Linked DNA regions of Styela clava. Each later gene encodes a partner of the first gene's protein in a complex. Links are inferred from orthologs where the notes say so. Each region holds a gene or a part of one and is shown in the gene's direction. Other genes may lie near its edges.

Region 1 (7,422 bases):
TGACCAGTGCTTTTTACAATTTCTGCTAGCATTATGTCAAGGCTTCCAACGCGAATGGGCGCAAGGTATTCACGGTGTGCTAGATGCAGTTGTGAGCAGCACACCCTATGTCGGGAATACTATTTTGTGGTTTATTTCTGTTCCGAGGAAAGCATCGTGTGTCTCTTTACTCCCAAGTTCGTGTCGCAGTTGTCCACACGAAATCCAACAACTAGTCATTTTTACCAAGAGCAAGTGTTCAGTAAAAATTTCGGTAGTTTTTTGGAATGAAATTTAAATTCCAAGAGTTTTGTCTTTGAACCAACATTAGCAGAAACAGCGGGTTACGACAGTGCCTCTATATTGTTTGATGTAAACATTTGTCAAATTTGATTTTGCCCGCTATATATTGGATATTTAGTTGCTTCATTTGGGATATTTACGCTTTGTTTACGTATTTTCAACGTGTTTTTAAATGAAACATAGGCTACTTCGGCCTTACTATATGTTATTTGTAGCTTATTGTTGGCTAGTTATTTTTAAGGTGAGGCGCGAGACTTGACAAATCCTAAAAGGGGGCGCGGCTTAAAAAGTTTGAGAACTACTGATAGACAATCACCGATCCGCATTCGGTCTATGATAGTGCAAATTTGGTCTCGAAAATTTTGGTAGTAGATGTGCAAAGTTCAAATATATGGTCACGAAAGCCAAAACAAAATATTTCACTCACAATTTCTCAAAACTATACCCTGAAGGAAGCTTGAACTATATGACGGTTACCAGATTTGTGGGTCCACCGTCACATAGTTCAAGCTTCCTTCAGGGTATAGTTTTGAGAAATTGTGAGTGAAATATTTTGTTTTGGCTTTCGTGACCATATATTTGAACTTCGCTCCCTTGTTTTCTTTTCATATGTGGAGATTCTGGTTGGCCGATCTTTCCCCATCCAAGGAATTTTATTACAACATGGCAAACTGGTTATTAATCTTTTTTAGGTTATAGAAAACAAATCTCCTACACTTGTTTTATTTTTGTTATGAGCAAACGTGTTACTTTTGCATAATTTTTGTAGAGAATCCAGTTTCTTGTTGCTCCAGCCAGCCTCGATAATTTTTTATTTTCTTTCACATTCCATCTTTTTTACCCCTTGGGGCCTCATTGTTTCTATTTTCACCCACATTCTTCACTATAGCGCTGGCTTTATTCTTCATTTTTATGAACGGTTTTCACCTTACAACTTGCTTGCTTTAATATAATATCTTTTATTTTTTCCTTGTATTTACTACGATGCTTTCTTTTTAAGTTATTTCCTACGTCCTGACGGCTACTCATTATTATATTATATCTTTCTTTTTCCCTTGGGGTCTCATTGTTTCTATTTCCACCCCGAGTATTCTTTACTATAGCGCTGGCTTTATTCTTCATTTTTATGATCGGTTTCCACCTTTGCTCTAATATAAATAAATCTTTTATTTTTTCCTCGTATTGACTACGATCAGTACGATGCTTTCCCTTTTTCATTTATTTCCTACCTCCCTACCATCTTTAGCTCATTTATATTTATTTATTTTCCATTCTTCCCCTCTTCCCTATTTTCTTTCATTCCATTCACTATCTTAATTTATTTTTCTTGGCCTCGCTGATTCCCATTTTTTCTTATTTTCCATCCTACTTTCACTCACACAGCCTTTTTCACACTTCTTCCATCTCAATTTCTTTCGCGGCTCTCCCTGACTTCCTTTATTTATTTACCCTGGACTTTTTTGTTGCTTTTTGATTGCCGCCTCGCTCATTTCTATTATTCTGCACTCCCTGTTTAATTATTTCGCCTTCTACTGCGGCTTACTTTCGCTCCCACCAGCGCTTTGATATTTTTTATCGTAATTTTTGTTCGGCCTCCCTAATTTCCCTCACGTATATTTTTCGCCAATTATATTTTCTTTTTCTACCCTGCTGCACTTTTTCTTATTTTTATTTTTAGTTTTTACTCCCCCACCAACACAGCCTTGCTGATCTATATTATTCCCTCGTGTCTATTTGCCGATTTCTATTATCGCTCCGTTTTTACTCATGATCCCCCTGGACCCTGCTGCCTTTTTTTATTTGTATTCTTTCACACTCGTCATATTTTTATTTTGATGCTTGATTGTCGTACTAGACAGCTTCGCTACCGATTTGTTTTATTCGTTTTACCCCTGATCGCTGATCTCCCTGGACCTTCTTCCACTTGCACTAGACAGCTTTGCTGCCGATATGTATTATCCGTTTTATCCCTGATCGCTGATCTCCTTGGACCTTCTTCCCCTCGCACTAGACAGCTTCGCCGCCGATTTGTATTAGCCGTTTTACCCCTGATTGCTGATCTCCTTGAACCTTCTTCCAATCGCACCATACAGTTTCGCTGCCGATTTGTATTGTCCGTTTTACCCCCGATCGCTGCTCTCCTTGGACCTTTTCCCACTCGCACTAGAAATCGTCGGCGCCGATTTGTATTAGCCGTTTTACCCCTGATCGCTGATCTCCTGGACCTTCTTCCACTCGCACTAGCCAGCTTCGCTGCCGATTTGTATTAGCCGTTTTATCGCTGATCTCCTTGGACTTGCCACTCTTCTTTTCTTGCTCATTCTCAGCTTTTCTTTAATTTTGACTGCACAGCTGGCGTATATTCCCTTGGCGGCTGGTCAGGCTTGTCAGGGTTCATAGCTGCTCTGCATTTCTGCTCCCCTCGGTTGCCATTTTGCTTGCTGTTGGCTCCCTTCTCTAGTTCCTATATCCTCTGTATCTCTGCTCCCCTTGGCTTTTCTTCTCTAGTACATATATCCTCTGCCCTTGGTTGTCCTCGTATTGGCTCCCTTCTTGGATTCTCTTCTCTAGTTCTTATATCCTCTGCATCTCTGCTCCCCTTGGCTTCTGGTTCATATTTTTTCTGCATTTCTGCTCCCCCCGGTTGCTGTTTCGCTTGCACGTTGGCTCCCTTCTCTAGTTCCTATATCCTCTGCATCTATGCTCCCCTTGGCTTCTCTTCTCTAGTTCCTATATCCTCTGCATCTCTGCTACCCTTGGTTGCTGTTTTCGCTTGCTCGCGGCCAGAGTTGGATCAATTACATTATTTCAGTTCAATTACAATTTCTCCCTTAAACTTTTCAATTACATTACATTTACTCCGTGCAAAAAATATCAAATTACACTTACATTTACAATTACACCAAAGCAATACTCAAATATATGAACACGTTACACATGGTGAAGCAGTTCTTACCCTTGACGCTACCGCTACCCTCAAAAAAATTACCCCGACAAAATAACAAACATACTGCGTTGATTCGAAGCAGGTACCTCTTTAAATTTGTAGTAGCCTACATTTTTTACACGAAAAATGCTTTACCATGCAATCATGGCAACAAGATGCATAGGATAATTCGAAGAATTGAGTCTGCAAACTAAATTTATGACCGTCATTAGAGGAATACTAAAAGACTGGACGGAGGTTTATCAATTTGATTCTTTCTGGCTCTTGTACTGACCGTCTTATCTCTGGTTTACTGTTTCTAAATTTAGAAAACATATCAGATTAAAATTGACGCGGCGTTTAGTTCTTTTACATATTGAAACGATATCATACAGTATACACACTAAAAATATGTGTTAAGAATGATAGGTAAAACATACCATCGCAGGCACTAAAGATAAAAATCAGTATATTGTACCTGTATTGTGATGTACGCTCTGATACTACGCGCGGCCACACGTCATATTCCACCGGATTCTGATGAAATAAAAGCAATCAATGCAAGGTAAGCTATGGTCAATCAGTTTCCATTCCATCATACATGCATTTCTTGGGATTCTATTGCAGATCGCGCAGGTCGCGGAAATATCTGGTGCCCTAAACAAGTGCTTTTTCTGTTTAATGGTTAATCCATCACTGTACCTCATCAATGCAATACTTTTAACCTTCGTTATTCACGTATTGCGGTAGTCAGTACAGTAATCTTACCCGTAGTAGTGGAAAATCACTTAGAAACTTTTACTAGCGGAGGTTCAACTCGAAGTCTGTTGAAGAAAAGAATAAGATGTCATTTTAATTTCGGCGAAGAGTAAAGCCGATAATACGGCGTATTCAAATGGCGTACCATGGCCTCTCGTACGATTACCAGTCCGCGTCGGTATGGGGTTGGCCAGTTATTTGTTTCAGATGCCTGACTTGGTGGTGGGCTTCCTGGCGCTTAGTACGGCGCACTGCGAAGGAAACGAACATAAATCAAAACATAAATTAAGCTAAAAAATGGTCGAATAATTTAAATCGAAATCAGCAAAACAGTCTGGAAAATTTATCATAAAAGCAAAAATTACCCAACCCCACCGTGTGGTTGATAAAGAAATAAATATAATGAATATGTGACCACTGGGGGCATTGCTGGACCAATATTATTTGGGTTGCATCCTTGTTGTTGATTAAATTCGCCCGAAAGACAGTGGAGTCGCATTTTTGCAAACTATTTTGTGGCCGTTTCGCCCTTTTATTTCGGCCATGGCATTGGACGGAGGGGGCAGGGAGTTGGATATCAGGTCACGGTTTACCACCAGAGAGGGAACTTACAAGCAAATGCCAAACTTTGAATACTGCAGACCAAACAGAGTTCCATACACTGCGCAGGTGAGTGCTAAGATAAGATTTTGTCGTTATCCTAGACACTGTACTGCTGTACTGTGCAGAGTTATGGTACAATAGTAAGGGTCTGGTATAGTTTAGTGCAACATATAGGGTGGTGTAGCCTGTCTGGGGACGATTTCATTCAAACCGCTATAAAACAAAAACCAATAATTCCAACCCGCCAATTTTTTCATCGTAGGTGCATTGGCATTTATTTTACACACTAAACCTCGAATTAACTTTCTACGACGAGAGGTTAAAGCTATACAAACCACCAAAGTACGACACTCTGAAGACGTATTTGCGACCAAACGACTAGTCTTCGACCACGGATTTCAAGCCTTGAACATCGTTTCTGCTGCTTCGAGACTAGGGCCATGCGTGAAAAACTTGGGCTTTTAACTGCATTTCTGACCGTCATATATTTTAAGAACACGTTTATTTCGAACAAAACTCGTCAAATTATAAACAAAGCACCGCATCACAGCAATCAAACAGACAAAAACAAATTGGTCAGCAAAGATAATATTGACGTATTGGAAATGTGCACCCCCCTATTCCCCCTCCTTTAAATGTAGAAACGCGAAACTTTAAAGATGGTTAAAAGAAACACAACTCTACCCACCTGCCAAGTTTCATCTTTTTATCTCTCTTTTTCAGAGAGACAATGGGTAGTCGGCAACATGAAAAAATGGTCCGGTTTTCGGTCTTAACTTTTTCGTTTGTGGCCGCATTTTAGTGTAATCTCGCAGAGCTGCGGGGGATAAGTGGACGTTAACGCGTGAGAAATATCCACGCTGTTTGTTAATTTTTTCGACATTAATTTAATCGATGAAGTCGATGGTCGTGAAGTCGATGGCCGCAAAGTGACTAAGCCACCCTACTTCTAATTAGCCTGGCTCAACAATTTTTGCATATGTCATTCCTAACCCCCACCTGACTACTTCACTAAAAAATTACGTCACTTGAGGACGTTTAGACCTTTGAAGTGTACGAATGGTCGTCCAAAACGGGTCGGCGATCACCTGAAATCGAGCAAGCTATTTCTCTTGTTTTCTCGACGCAACGATCCCGATATTAGAGTAACTGCTGGCGTTAGAGAGTTCGTATGGTTGGTGCGAATGCCATTTTGGGCGATCGTAGCTATACATTTGCAAGCTCTATGACGTGTTGTGAGGTCGTAGTGAAGTAATTTTTAGATGACATAGTCAGGTTAGGAATAGTTAGGAATAACATATGCAAAATTCGTTATGCTGCGCCCACCAGAAGTACTTGTGGTACTAAACTATACCAGACCCCAATAGTAATACAACCCAACCTCTTTTCATTGAATTTGGTCTCAATTCATACTGAATATCAATTAGTTTACAAAAATTCTGTTTGGCATTGGGATTTAATTGGCAAAAAGGTAATAATACAGTAATATTATAATAAGGCATTGGATAGTCTAATTGAAGTATGGGAATATTAAATCAATTCAATCCTCAATATTAGGATATGGTATGCTTTCTCCATGTTACTGTACTCAGCTAGTGGAAGAAGTTGCAGTCCATGGCGGGTATGAGTGTAGTTCATCAATTATTTGTTTCAGACCCATAAATTTCATGGAGAAAAAACCTGTTACTGACCAATGGTTACAGGGTTGCGGGAACCTCCCCAAAACGACGAGCTGGCAATTATGTCGCATAAAATTGTTCCCTATGCTTTCAATGGCATGTGTATTTCTGACGGTAATGCTTGAAATGATGCATCAACCGGCAAGCCAGGATTGAAACATCATCCAAAATTTTCAACCGTCTCCGGGTTGCTTCTCACTAAAGCAATTTTTTTCTGACAAATTCCAATTCATCAATTTCGTATATTCTGTCCTAATATTGGTCATATAACCTGATTCAATATATCTTCAATGGATATTGCAAAAAGGAACCTATTGCCAGCATAATTGTAATCAACATAGTCTTTAGGCATTATTGGAAAGAGACAAAAAGTGGCGCTAGGGACTTGATGCTTAGACTAACCTACTTTTATAATCCAGAGTTATCTTCAATTTTGCTTTTGTTAATTGAAAATGTGGAGTACATATGTACTTAGTTTAAGTTGTGTTGGGGACGGTTCCATTACATTTGAACCCACGTACATTTGAACCCATGACAATTGCACCTGTATGCTATTGCACCTATGGAATTTTTTTTGTTTCACGGATAGTTAAACCCATACTAACCCTAACCCATGGGTTTTAGCACCCGCATATAGATTGAACCCGTGGATATACGCATGGGTTCAAATGTACATGGGTTCAAATGTACGGTCACCGTTGGGGACTAATATAATACCGGTAGATATTTTCTGGTTTAGATTGTTGATGGGCGCTAGATGCTTCTTTTCGTTTTTTTTATTGGGCTTTGCTGCTGCCTTGGTTTCTTTCACACTTCTGGCTTTTCTGATAGTTTTCTTGATGACTCCAACAGCAACAATCTGTCACATGTCAGGGGCAATATCTAAATATCACCTTGGCTAAGTTCTAGTTTACTCGATTTGTTCTTTTCAGTAATAACCAACTGCCATTGATATAATCCTACTGCACTATCTTGCCACTAATTTTGGGAATTTGTTTATATCTTTGGTTAAGTTATTGTTGCATCTTTCTATGTCTATCGTAACTTGATAAGCAGAATCAAAAAACAGACCAGAGAAATGAGAGGTGTGACAATAACATCCTAGTAACATAGCACTACTACATGTCTGTTTGCACTGGTGTTGAATTTATGACTTTTATACAGGGACCACCA
Region 2 (7,644 bases), on another chromosome or scaffold:
AGAGCACGGCGCGTTGGCAGAATCTCATGGTCTAGTGAGAATGACGTCATCGGAAACATCGCGCTCATTAAAATTTCAATGAACGATTATCAAAAATCTTGACCATGTTTATCATGATAAAAATATCAAAAAAGATGTAAAAAATATTCTATCTTTAAAACTGCTCACGTAAACAATGAAAGATATCTAGAAAATTACAAAAAATGCAAATTTCTGCTCTGGTGATCACATTCCCCATAAGAGCTAAGGTTAAAAAAATATTTTTTACATCACTTTTCTTTTTGCGCGTAGGATGGGTTTTTAATGAATAAGGTCTAATGCATAGTTCTTATGTATGTGTTGTAAACTTAAGGTTATTGGATTTCCGGGAACCTCTTATATTCAATTTCGCATCAGAATTGGGGAACAAGCTGTAATGCGTTCAGTATGTTCATTTTCACACAAACCTGAAGAACTTATTTAGTTACCAGATGTGCGCTATGAAACTCATTTTCTGGGCGTTTTCAAGGCTTCGTCTCACGGCCCATATCCGTGGTAAGGATCTACAAGTGTTTAATAACTTACTTGTACATTTTTTAACAACGTCTTAGCATAACTTAACTAATAATATCTAAACAGGGCTATGGAAAGGCTGCTCAACTCAACGCAAGGTCGAGCAGTAATAACTAATATTCATCCGCTCGCTAACAGCTGATTCGATTCAATTGTTACGTCATGCAGAAGTCATTGTTCATTGCCAAAAATGTAGAGAATATAGGACAGATCGTAGCACATATTTCTTGTAGTAAAAGCGTCTTTTCTGTAAAACGTGCAACTTTTGGAAGTGGGAACAAGGCAATATTTGTTACTAAATTTCTAAGGAACATTTTAAAATCATTTTCAGGTAGTTACCTGATGTGCGTTACGAAACTCACTTTCTAGGCGTTTTTCAGGGCCTCGGCTCGCGGCCTAAAACTTAATTTGAATATGGATGATCTATTTGATGAAGTTGCATCTATTCAAAAAATAATTTGGCACGATTCAAAACACTAAACTGTTTACAGAATGCAAAACAGCAAGCAGTAAATGGCACTATATCTTGAAAAGTTTTGATCTTAAGTGTGTTAATGTTGTCAAAATTGTTTCATTTGTGCTCTCAATTCGCGGAACCTCAGCTTATTGGGGACGCATTTTTAGTGTAATGTCATCTAAATTCTAAATGACGCAGTGAAAGGAACAGATGCTCCATACAACTAATGAAAAGTGAGCTTTTAATATGAAAGACACTTGTCGTGACTCGTGAATTTTCAGGAAAAATAAAGCGTGATCCACAATTGCCGAAGTAAGCAAAAAGTCAGAAGAAATATAACAACTGCAAAATTAGAGCTCGTTTGGGTCAATGGACTTTTCCCCGACCCTCGACCCCCGAAAAATTCTTCCTATACTTTATAATTGCAAAATTTTCTGGGTATATTTTAAAAGTGGATTCGCGAGTTGGCGCCTGTAAAATGAAGTATGTGTTTAAACCATCATCGCATACAGCAGTCTGTTTTTTAAAAGTACCGGTAGAGAGTTTTAGCCTAGTCTATCACAGCTATTTCTACACTAATTTTTTATCACTGCAATCAAATTAAAACTCCTAGGAAGAAAGAGTGATCATCAAATTATCTGATTTATATCTAAATTTCCGAAACACAACTGAAAACTAACGAATAGAGTTCAAAAACGCGAAAACGAGGAAATGTTTACGAGCACGCCTGGAAATCTGTCTGAGTGAGAAAAGTGTCTGAGCGGATGCGAAAAGGGAACCTTGTTACGTCACTTTTTGCATCTTGCTGATTGGCCAATGTCACGAAGTAAACAAGGAAGTCGATGCTCGGGGAAGGTCGATGTTAATCAAATATTAAATTAAAAAACACATAAAGATTTTTTTAATATATATATATATCTGTTTAGCTTGTATATAACTTTTATTTCATTGTTTTATATTGTTCTTTCCTGCAAGTTAAAAAAATAAATGTTGAGGGTGATCTATGTCCTTTATTGATACTTTCCATAGTTGGCAACCCTAGTCTCGTGTAGTTTCGTGCCTAACATACTTCTAGTGGGCGTAACATTTTTCATCAAAGCCCATATATACCTGTTTTTCATGTGTCAATCCTAACCCCGAGTCCCTAAACTTATACTTATTATACTCCCGACCTGACTATTCCATCCAAAAATTACGCCACAGTGACGTTATCGAGCCCTTCAAGCTTCAAACTACACGAACTGTCATCCAAGATGCGCAAACGAGCACCCGAAATCAAACAGCTATTTCTCTCGTTTTCTCCGCGCTACGATCCCTATATAAGAGAGAGATTGCTTACTTTAGTCTGTCATTCATCGTCGGCGCCGATGCCATTTCGGGCGATCGTTCGTGTATTTGGCAAGCTCCATGACGTGATTGTGACGTCGTAAGGACTTAATTTTTGTCAGGTGGACCCTAAATAGTTATTAAGAACAAATAAAGTGAAACAAAAACAGATTATAGAATCAGCAGAGCAAACAAAACCTTGAGAAAGGTTTATAGCGTTCTGACTCATTGTAAACTTCAAATTATTTCTGTATTTAGCATTCGGTTACCGCTCCGTACTGCAGAACTGTATTTTTCAAATGAACTGCAGAACTGGGTTTTGGTAAGGCAGTACTGCAGTACTGTGGTGAGGTGAGATTAGATAGCTCTGTTGCTAGTGGGGATATTGTTTTTTTCAGATGCATGTACTTGATTGTGGAAGAAGCGGTGTCCAAATGCGTTTATTTTGCTAAAACACGATTGCAGGATTGTGTCAGACACACTCTGATCAACTTTATTATCATTTTTTCCAACTTGTATGTGTGACTCACTTTTTCATGTGAAACGACCGAGGAGCCTTTTACTGCTGCTCATCAAGTATTTTTATTATTTTTGGATATATTATTTGTGTTACTTATGGTAAATGAGCACGTGCATTGCGCATTATAAACTTTATTCATTAGTTTTGATCTTTTTCTGAGCATTTCTGTTGTTTTGTTCATTTCATCGAGTTTTGTGTTTTCAGAATGCCATAATAAATTGTATCGTATTGTTCCATCACAAACAAAACAACTCGATCCTTGATTTCTAACAAGTGCATGCATGTGGTACAATTTGTATAAAACCTACTGACCAAGCTATTTGCATTGGACGCTGGATAATTCCTTTAAAAATTCACTATTTATCGCCATAAAACTAGGGTTTAAATATGTTCAACTCAAGTATCCTTTAAAAATTCACTATTTATCGCCATAAAACTAGGGTTTAATTATGTTCAACCCAAGAAATTTTGTGCTACTATTTTGATACTTCATAATGGAGCCTCATCTTTAATTGCATCAAGCATTGTTAATAAGCATATCTCCAAACTCGAGCCTGCTTGAGCCGAAATCTCTATTTCGAAACACAGGAACATCTGTGTACCAATATGTGAGAGGATTGATGAACTCTTTGTGGTCACATAAGGATATATTGGTTCTCATTTCTTCTGAGAGTGCAGAAGTGCTCAGCCTTTACAGTAATTACGAGAAGTTATTATATATTATGCAGTCACCTTTGTTTAGGAATATTTTGCATTGCAGCATTAATGCTGGTGTTTGTTAATATTTGGTGAATTAACACAATATATTTATCTTACAAACTTTTAGTTTTGCATGTTTTTTAAGTAGACTATATGACAATATAAAATGTGTACAGTATGCTTTCTTAATACTGTAATAGCGGTCTTACTACTTACTGAATACAGCGCGAAACACCGCAAAGAGCGCAAAACAGCGCGAAACAGCGTAAAACAGCGCAAAACAGAGGGAAACAGCGCAAAACAGTGTGGAAACAGCGCAAAACAGCGCGAAAGAGCGCAAAACAGAGGGAAACAGTGTGAAGCAGAAAAAAATTTTGCAATGAGTTCGGGACACCTTGTTTTGAGTTGGAGTACCACGGCAGCAAATTAAAAACACAAACCAACGTATGTAGCCAGTAATGCTGTAATGGCAGGTCTGCCCCTGCTGGTGACACATTTAGGGTACCATAATTTAGAACATTTTTCATATGGATATGGTTGGCTTTAGGGTTAGGGTTAGGTAAAAAGGGACCTCCAGAAGTATGTGCACCAAGATGGCGCACAACCTGAAAATAGTGTGTGTGTGTGTGTGTGTGTGTGTAGCGGATTCAGGTTGTGCGACATATTGCTGCACATACTTCTGGAGCACCAAAAAGGTAGATAAAATTTCGCATGATGACCTATAATCCGGTACATAACCTTGTAAATATGCCGGAAATAGCGCCATAAAACCATGGCGAGAGGCGCCGTGGTTCTTTCGTGGCAGGAGGTGGTAATGACTGCGTCTCCTGTTTTGCGCTGTTTCCCTCTGTTTTGCGCTGGTTTCCTTCTGTTTCGCGCTGTTTTCCTCTCTTTTGCGCTGTTTCGCGCTCTTTTGCGCTGTTTCGCGCTGTTTTGCGCTCTTTGCGGTGTTTCGCGCTGTATTCAGTAAGTAGTAAGACCCCTGTAATAGTACAGTAATAGATGGTTAATGTGTTGGAACATTAAAAACAGTTGCAGTCGTGAGTCGCCCCTATTGACATCATAGGTTCTGCGAAATATTTGCAAGGCTCTTTCTGTCACATGGTGATTGTAGCAACTATATCTGCTATTGTACATGTGGAACATTAAACTCATTACTTTTGAAAGTAAAACTATGTGCTTCTATATTTTTCTCAATATTCACCAGAACACATGATGTAATGTAATGTAACCATGTAAACCTGTTAACTAATATTTAACAGTCTGACACCTTTTAAAATATTTTGAATTTTTTGATGGAACAAGAGTATATAGCCATAAAATCCTATTACTAGATGTAAGATTTCATGAAGGGGTGTCTTCCAAGCATAATGGTGAGTTTTTTTATCTTTCAGTCTTTGGTTTGATATTACTGATTCGCAATTACACATGATTTATTGTTTCTGATACCAATTATTCAATGCTTTTTACAGGGAGCAAACGCTTCAGCACTTGTCAAAGATATCGGGCCAGAACAATTTCCTCCAAATGAACATTATTTTGGATTCATCAATGTATGTGACATGACTTTTAATTTGATTACTGTAGGAGTTTGGTAGTACTTATCGAAATAGTCTAAGTTTCAACTTACTAGCTTAGTCAAAGTTTGTTACGTAATATTGTCTTCGGTAGAGCGTGTCGTGCTTTGGAGCAACACTGTGAAAGCATGACATCAAAATTTTACTTCAAATCAAAGTGCTTCTGTGCCGAAGTTAAAGCTGTCTCGCGGTCCCCCTAAAATCGCTTCGCAGACCCCTAATCGGCCGCGGACCCTAGTTTGAGAACCAATGGTCTAGTACAGGGGTGTGCAACCTTTTTCACCGGCGGGCCAAATTCAAGTAACTGGGTGGAGCCGCGGGCCGCACCTTTATTTAATATGGACTTTCTCGTAATTACCGTTACAAAAATTGTTTATTTTTGCTAGTTATCTTACGGCAATATTAGGGTTTCTTGCAGAAATAGTGAGTTGAACGCAAACTTGTGTCACTGATATCATTGCTCTCATCCAATGCCAGACTGAAAGCTTCACTCACTTTGCAATGACGGTTAACAACAATTCCTGGCTAGTGAGATAACACATTTTATCTATAAACGTAATCTGCTAGACAGAGCTTATAACTGAACGAGTCTAAACCACAAATCCAAAGAATGCTTACGTCACGTACTGTCATAATCAAATTACTGTTTCTATCTAAGCAATAAAAAGATACACGAGGTCTTAATTAATTAAACTGTCGGATTGGGATTTTATGCTTGATGGGTAAAAATCAAGAGTATTGACAAGGGCCACACTAAATGGCTTGGCGGGCCGGGTTATGGCCCGCGGGCCGCCTGTTGCACACCCCTGGTCTAGTACAATATACAAGACAACTTCATTTTGATCTGATATTTATTCATGATTTCGATAGTCCTAATATAAATTGGCTAATTTTGGTAATGAGATATTCAATGATTTTGTAGATTTAATCAACCAGAATATATAGGATGGGATTTGGGACATATTTGTTCCAGGTGAGAGGAAAACGATAAGTTGGCTTAATCATATGGCGAACCACGGCCTCTCGTTCGGTTACCAGTCCATGTCTGGTATGAGATTAGTAAGCCAGTTATTTGTTTTCGGAAGCATGGACTTGATGGTGGAGGATGCCGCAACCGACTAGCGGTTCCTTGAACCACCCTACAGCGGCGAGAATTGCAGCGATCCTCTAGCACACTGGTTCTCAACCAGTGGGCCATGGCCTACTGCTGGGCCATAGAGACATTTTCAAGTGGGCCACAAGCCTATTACAAACTACTATGGTTATTGGAAAGTTTAATTTCATTTGTCATTATAGTCAAATTTTTATTGTAGTAGCAATGAATGATGCTGCTGCTTTTCATTCTGAGTATTAAAGTGAAAGTATTTATTTTTGCAAAAAGAATCTTGCTTTTCTTGTAGTTTTTCCCTTGCATGAGAAAGTTAGTGGGCCACAGAGTTTTTATGCAACTAAAGTGGGCCACGAAAGAAAAAAGGAGAGTCTAGCACATAACCATTTGCATGGGATTCGAACCTGCTAACTCACGCAGGGTAATCAGAGGTGCAGCGGCGGGTGTATTCCTAACGCTTAGCACAGTGCGCCACACCGCCAAGCCTTTTTTCTGGTTAGAGAGATTGTTCGATTTCAGTTCATTATCTTTCAGTTTGGGAATACTTGTTACTGCAACTCTGTACTACAAGCTCTCTTTTTCTGTCCACCATTCCGAGAAAAAGTTCTTCAGTATCGTCAGCAACTGAATGGAAAGCATGGGGGGAATAAAAAGGAAACATTACTCTCTTGTCTCTGCGATCTTTTCCACAGCATAACAACACAAAAGAAGAAAGTTGGGGTCATACAGCCAAAGAAATTTGTTGCCAAATTGAGAAAAGAAAATGGTGAGACATTATTTGCTCATTAGAAAATGATTTTTTTCGTGTAAATTTTATATTATGCAAGAATGTACCATCTAATGTCACAGTCCATAAATAAGCCTGAATTTTCTTTTTTTATCAATGATTTAATAATACCAGTGAAGAAACTTACTCAATGATAGGGTAGGGTACGTAGTGATTGTTGTAAAAGTAACGTTTGATTGTTGTAAAAGTAACGTTGTAATTACGATACGTCAACAGTGAGCGAATGAGATATTTGACTTTCAAGCTCGAGCGAGGAGAAGCAATTTTGTATTTATGAGAAGAGTGTGCCGCTATTCAGGAGCCATCGTGATTTTATATTTGTTTGGCAGCTCTAACAAATAGACTATTGTTGAATTGTTTGCCCTCATGGCTTTTAGTCAAACATTTCAAACCAAGTTTTATACTAATATTGGGTACTAATGTTCAGTTACACCTATTAACCACTATTTGTTCTGGAATTCCTAGGTATTATGAACGGCTTTGTATGTAAATAGGTAACTACCGGTATATGAGGTATATGCCGGTATATGAGATTGATTATGCTGTGATTTTCTATGATAAGTTTTATATATCTTCAAAACTTAATGCCGCACATACAATAGTATTCGGGATCATAGC
Region 3 (7,176 bases), on another chromosome or scaffold:
TTTCCAAGTGCCATATTGCCCACCAAAACATACACTCGCAGACTTGTTTGACTGCTATAAAAACTTCTGGGGAATGGAAGCATTGGACCAATACCCCAAATCCAGTAAAAAAATAGTCAAAACCACTAACTATTTCATTTTCTTTTTTCATAAATAGATATCAATAAACAGCATTACAAAATGAATTATTTTAAATCATTTGTGAAAGGCAGTGATGAGCAACAGCCGAGTGGAGCAGAAACCGTATCAAGACTTTGTGATCGTGTTGCATCATCTACGCTCCTTGAAGATCGTCGAGATGCTGTTCGTGCATTAAAATCATTGTCGAGAAAGTTTAGATATGAAGTTGGCACACAGGGAATGGCTCATATTGCTACTGTTTTAGATCAAGACGCAAATGATGATGAAATGGTGGCATACGCACTCGATACATTATGCAATCTTATGTCTGATATGGAAGAAGATGATGACGTAGTTCCGCAACCTGAATTAACTCGTACATTTGTCGAAAAATTTACCGCAGAAGAGAATAATATAAATGTGGTATTAGATTTCGTTGAGCGATATGATTTTAGTGTTCGACTCTCCGCACTACGGCTTATGATTTCATTACTGAAAGGTCAACCTGGTAAAATACAAGAAACTGTGCTTATGAAACCCATGGGTATATCTCGACTAATCGATTTATTGACCGATTCAAGAGAGGTCATTCGAAATGATGCGTTATTGTTGCTCATAGAACTGACGCGTGGAAATTCCAACATTCAAAAAATTATTGCTTTTGAAAATGGCTTTGATATTATTTTGGATATAATAAGGGCAGAAGGGATGAGTGATGGTGGAGTTGTAGTAGAAGATTGCCTTTTGTTGTTACTACATTTACTAAAGAGAAACACATCAAACCAGCAATTTTTCAAAGAAGGTTCATTTGTGCAGCGTTTGACACCATTTTTTGAAATTGATTCAGAGTCTGTATGGTCTGCACAAAAAGTTGCGAATTTGCATCTCATGCTGAAACTTGTAAGAACGTTGGTTGCACCTTCAAATCCATCGAATGTGACATCTTCTTGCCAGCTTGTAATGCAGCAATGTGGATTACTAGAGAGGCTGTGTAATATGTTGATGGCCACTGGTGTCCCGGCAGATATTTTAACAGAAACTATCAATACTGTTTCGGAAGTTATTAGGGGATGTGAAGCTAACCAAGCTATGTTTGAATCTGTTCATGCACCTTGTGAGCCCCCTCGTCCAGCGATTGTTGTTTTGTTGATGTCAATGGTCAATGACAAACAGCCTTTTGAATTACGGTGTGCTGTTTTGTATTGCTTCCAATGCTTTTTACATGTTAACCCAGCAGGACAGACAAAAATTGTCAACACATTACTGCCTTCCTCACTTCAGTCACAACAAATTTCTGCCGGTCAGCTGCTTTGTGGAGGATTATTTGCTGCTTCTGATCCACTGTCTAATTGGTGTTCTGCTGTCGCGCTTTCACATGCATTAAATCGTAATACCGAAATGAAACAGCAACTGTTACGAGTGCAACTCGCGACAAGTGTAGGAAATCCACCTATATCTTTGCTGCAGCAAATTACAAATATAGTTAGGCAATCAACGAGCATCCAAAGTCGAATGGGTCTACTTATTCTATTGTGCAGTTGGCTTTCTGGTTGTCCAATTGCTGTTTCCCATTTATTACATGATTCAGATGCTGTTCCTTTCCTTTTGAGCCAAATAGCCGAGCACGGAAATGAATTGGACCACGTTTTGCATGGAGTATGTGCTCTTTTGCTAGGAATATGCATTGTTGATAATGATGGTTCAGTTCCTCAATGCACGAAAGAGTCACTCATTGAGTTAATTGTAGCAAGAGTAGGAATTGAAAGATTTTGTGACTCTCTCGGAGCAGTTACAAAACATGATCTGTATTCTAAAGCGTTTCAACGTTCTCAACCTGTTGCACCATCTTCAGATGATATGTTGTTCGATCATAATTTTACTAAATTGTTCAAAACTTTGGAAGATAATATTATAAAAATGGTTTCAAATTTAGAGGATGTCAAGAAAGAGGAAGAATCAAAAGCCGCCATCAAGGCCCATGATTCTATCATAAAGGAATATCAGGCTCTAATAAGAAGTCAAGATACAGATTTAAAAGAATTGAGATCTCGTGTTTCCAGTCTTGAATCTGAATTATCACAAACAAAGGAAAACTTGGATGAACGCACAGCACAAGTTCAGCAATTAAAAGATCAATATAACGTATTGAAAACCATGCATGATTCTTCATCTGGGGATGGTGTCAGCGATGCTGCCGAGTTATTGTCATCTTTGAATGTGCAAATTGAGGAACTGAAGCAAGAAAATGCAGAAAAAAATGCAAAATTACAAGAAAAAGAAAATTCTATTCAACAGTTACGTAATGATCTTGATGGTTTAGAACTTCGTTCTCTGCAACTCTCGTCCTCTGATGAAACTCAACAAAACAACAATCAACAAAGCAATACTAACATACCAGATGACAGTATACATGCCATCAATGTGCCTGATGATTCGAGACTACAAGAACATAGATTAGTACAACTCACAAATGAAGTTGATTCATTACGATCCCAACTTCAAGCGAAGGATGAAGAAATTTCTAGGTTGTTATCAGAAGGTGCACGCTCTCAAAACACAACTGATGAAGTGTATGATGTACTTGTTTCTGAGAAGACGTCAATGCAAACAAAGATTCATGATCTTGAATCCAGATTGAATGTTACCAGCCAAGAAAACCTCACACTTCAGGATAAAATCTCAACACTTGAGGAAAAACTCTCCAATTTACAGAGTAAAGAAGAATCTCTTGTACAACAAGTTACCGATGCAAACTCCAAGGCAGAAGAGGCAAAAGCACAAGCTGAAGATTTCAAAAAAGAGCAAGAAGATTTGCTTATTCTTTTATCAGACCAGGAGACAAAGCTAGAATCTTATAAAACTAAAATTAAGACTCTAGGTGGGGAAATATCAGATGAAGATGATGATGAAGAAGAAGAGGATGATGAGGAAGATGAAGATGTTATAGAATCCTTAAAGCAAAATTCTCAACCTGGAGACACTAATGGTGTTAACACCCACCCAGAATAATGTCAAAAATAATTCTTGAAAATATTTTTATTCCATATTAGTACAAATTCTATTTAGACTGCTGTACATGTCTCACTGCTTTAAATCTCAGAATGGAATGCTATGTAATATTATGTAAATTTCATACAGATTTGTATAAGAGAATTTGAAGGAATTCTAGATTTACTGCTTGTATGTCCATGCATACGATAGGCTTCCTGTACAGTTAGGACTCCTTTTCAGCTATTTTTATATTGAATATATCTTTAAGATACTTTTTTTTGCTGCTCCACTCATAGGAATGTTATGGATTAATTGCGCATTCCTCACGATAATAATCATTTATGGAGAAGGATTGTAGAATATGAAAGTAGAAACACTCTGATAGGTCTGATAATATTATGAATTATGATGATAATCATTTTACAAGAACATTGGGGCTTTCTATGAAATTTTTAGATTCAAATTTCTCCAAGGCAATGTATTATATTTTTCATGTCATACTTAAGCATACTTTTATCTAATATTGTATGCTGTTGTATCATATTATAGGTATTATCTATAATGAAAAGTAATGTTGTGGTATTTTCTTATAGTTTTATTTTTTGCTTATGTACAAATATTTATATCACATGATTTGGTCATATTTGAATAGGACGTTCTGTTCATTCTGAGGGCAAATAGGTGCATGAGATCTTGCCTAGGTATGTCATATGGCCCAATTTGTATCATTCAGTGCATGATAAGTTTTTATAAGTTTGATCTGAAACCTTGTATTATCAAATACTCACTCCGTGATTATCTACTTCTGAGTCTATTTTTCTGTGTATAAGATATGGCCTCTGCAATCATTAGTTTTTTGTGCAATTACGACCAGTTAATGGATGGCTGTAACTCGGGTCCAATATCTTGAATGCTTTCATAAAATAAAAGGTATTGCTGTTTTATTATTTACCGGTGATGTGATATCTGTTATTTCAGAAAAATCTTCTAGAATGAATTAGATTAAGATTTTTAATGTAAAGAGACTTCAATTTGATGTTATAAAAAATGGCAATGCATCAACGTCGAGATCCATCGTTATCACGGAAAAAGATTCAGGTGTCGTATATCATTCGTGATAAAGTGGAAATGCTGAATCGCTCTGGTATTAATGCTCTACAATATGATCCTGTTGCAAATCGTTTATTCACTGCTGGAAGAGATTCAATTATCAGAATGTGGGATTGTGAGTCTGCTCAAAAAGAAATGGATAATTCTAAAAAACATGGAAAAATGAACAGAGGTTCTTATGAAGCATCAATGGAACATCACACTGACTGGGTAAATGATATTGTACTTTGTTGCAACAACCGAACTTTGATTTCTGCATCTTCTGACACAACTGTAAAGGTTTGGAACGCCCATCGAGGGTATTGTATGTCTACATTACGTACACATAAGGATTATGTGAGAGCATTAGCATATGCAAGACATCGCGAACATGTCGCGAGTGCTGGCCTCGACAGACAAATATTTATATGGGATGTTAATACATTAACAGCTCTTACTACAGCTCGGAATACTGTTACAACATCTAATGTGAATGGTTGTAAGCAGTCAATATACAGCTTAGCAATGAATGCTGCAGGGACTGTTATGGTCGCAGGTTCGACAGAAAGAGTTCTTCGAGTCTGGGACCCACGTACATGTGATAAAAAAATGAAATTGAAAGGACATACAGATAATGTTAAAGCACTTTTGGTGAATAGAGATGGTACACAAGTATTATCTGGTAGCTCAGATGGCACAATACGTCTGTGGTCTCTCGGGCAACAGAGATGTATTCTTACAATGCATATACACAGTGAGGGAGTGTGGGCTCTCGCTGCTGCGGAAGGTGACAATGCTTCATCTTTCACCAAAATTTATTCATCTGGGAGAGACAGAAGGGTTGTGTGCACTGATTTATGTGATCCAGATGCCTCGAAATACGTCGTTTGTGAAGAAAATGCTCCTGTGTTGAAACTACTGGTGAATTCTCGAGAAAATACGAATGAGATTTTTGTCGCAACAACTAGTTCCGCAGTCAATGTTTGGCCATTGAAGGGGCAATCAGATATAAATGGAGCTTCCACAGGTGGATCATTTGATGAGGTGATGTCTGAAGAGGAGTTTTTGACTACAACACAGCCCGAGTTTACGCAACCTTCATATACATTCCCTGGTGAAGCAAGTATTTTTCATTACAAAATATTATCAGATAAAAGACATATATTGACAAAGGACACTGACAATAATATAGCATTATGGGATGTACTCATTGCAAGAAAATTAGAAGATCTTGCAGAAAAGGATTTCGAAGCCGAAGTTAAAAAAAGAGAAAAAATGCTTTATGTTCCAAATTGGTTTAGTGTCGATTTAAAACTCGGCATGTTGAGTATACATTTAGAAGAACCTGACTGTTTTTCTGCCTGGGTTACAGCAAAAGATGTAGCGGGATTTGAAAATTCAGATCCCAGTACCAAGCTTAATTATGGTGGTTTGTTGCTGCAGGCATTGCTGGAACATTGGCCAAGTACACATTTACACATAGAAGACACGTCGGAAAATGACAGTGATGAGAAGAATGATAGAGAAGGTGAACGTTCACCGAGCCACAAACAAAGACCTCATAAAATTATTAAGGGAAATAGATATTTTTCAGTCCCTGGCCACACTCCAGTAATATTTAGTGAAGTAGGTGGTCGTACATTGTTTCGCTTACTCTGTCGAGATGCTGCAGGGGAATCGGAGTCTATGTTATTGCGAGACACTGTTCCACAGTGGGTAGTTGATACTGCTGTTGAGAAAAAGATACCCACAAAGTTTGTTAAAATTCCATTTTATTTGCATCCGCATCCTAACTCATCAATAAAAAATCTCAAAAAGGATAGATTGTCTGCAAGTGACATGCTCTCAATACGTAAAGTAATGGAGCATGTATATGAGAAAGTCTTATGTTTGGAAGAGGATTCAACTCAAACATCATCAAGCACGCCGACAGCATCTCCAACTGCAAATGCAGATAAACATGATACTTCAAGCAATAGTAAGAAGTCTACCCCAACTGGTAACACTGATGCTGCTAAGACTGATATAGATAAATCATCTGTGATTATGGACAAAGTTGTGCTGTTATGCCAGGAGCAAGTTCTCGATCCATCATTAGATCTGCGTACTGTGAAACATTTAATTTGGAAATCAAGCAGTGATATGATTTTGCATTATAAGCTTCAACCTATTCCATAACACCCATTTGCAGTAGAAATTTAATTTATATCACTTCATTTTCATTACTTTTCTTATATTTTATTTATATTGTGCTAATGACAGGCAAATCCAAGAAAAGCTATAGAATAATGGCCTTTATATGACAATGGACCAGTGTTCCCCTCCAAGCCTTCAATTTTCGATGCTTATTATCATTATTACTAAATCCTGAAGATGAGATGTAAATTCAGGAATTATAATATTCGGATAATACTAGTAAATTATCTACGGCATAGATTCGTGTTTTGAGTACAGTCCTTCTCGACCCATGGCCAATACCGCATGATGATTTCTGCTTTATCCTGTGGACCAAGTCTATGAATACTGAATATGTAGGACAGCAATGATGACTGTTTATCAGGTTCCTAATCGTTATTAATATTTTAAAATAAATATGGAATCATACATATGGCATATTTTATAATATAGCACATTTGTTGTCGTCTTGTGGCAAACTTGAAACCGAAGCGGCAGACGGCAGAATTACAAATCGAAAAGTTCCCTATATTCGGCGGTGTGGCGCATCGTGCTAAGCGTTGGGAATACGCTCGCCACCGAAGCTCTGATTATCCTTCGTGGGATCGCATGCGGGGGTGATCATGTGCGAGAGGATTCCTGGACTCCTCGCCGCCGTAGGGTGGTTCACGTAACCGCTGGTCGGTTACGGCTTCCTCCACCATCAAGTCCATGCTTCCGAAAACAAATGACTGGCTAACTAATCCCATACCTGACCTGGACTGGTAACCGGACGAGAGGCCGTGGTTCGCCATATGATTA

The links. The genes of interacting proteins can lie anywhere in the genome.
Region 2: WD repeat-containing protein 20-like (region 1) and ubiquitin carboxyl-terminal hydrolase 46-like share a complex: the UniProt entries of both Drosophila melanogaster proteins name them as parts of the usp12-46 deubiquitylase complex. The link is inferred for Styela clava from reciprocal best matches to the Drosophila melanogaster genes CG6420 and Usp12-46.
Region 3: WD repeat-containing protein 20-like (region 1) and WD repeat-containing protein 48-like share a complex: the UniProt entries of both Drosophila melanogaster proteins name them as parts of the usp12-46 deubiquitylase complex. The link is inferred for Styela clava from reciprocal best matches to the Drosophila melanogaster genes CG6420 and CG9062.

What each region holds. Positions count from the first base shown.
Region 1 is NC_135251.1:17,321,266-17,328,687, reverse strand, and holds the start of WD repeat-containing protein 20-like, read left to right. Parts: upstream 1-4,422; 5' UTR 4,423-4,510; coding exon 4,511-4,636; intron 4,637-7,413; coding exon 7,414-7,422. UniProt on the Drosophila melanogaster protein: Regulatory component of the Usp12-46 deubiquitylase complex.
Region 2 is NC_135263.1:19,355,812-19,363,455, forward strand, and holds the start of ubiquitin carboxyl-terminal hydrolase 46-like, read left to right. Parts: upstream 1-4,626; 5' UTR 4,627-4,900; coding exon 4,901-4,927; intron 4,928-5,026; coding exon 5,027-5,107; intron 5,108-6,773; coding exon 6,774-7,005; intron 7,006-7,644. UniProt on the Drosophila melanogaster protein: Catalytic component of the Usp12-46 deubiquitylase complex.
Region 3 is NC_135253.1:16,167,886-16,175,061, reverse strand, and holds WD repeat-containing protein 48-like, read left to right. Parts: upstream 1-4,158; coding exon 4,159-6,378; 3' UTR 6,379-6,806; downstream 6,807-7,176. Other genes in the region: general vesicular transport factor p115-like, read left to right, coding at 181-3,129. UniProt on the Drosophila melanogaster protein: Regulatory component of the Usp12-46 deubiquitylase complex. activates deubiquitination by increasing the catalytic turnover without increasing the affinity of deubiquitinating enzymes for the substrate.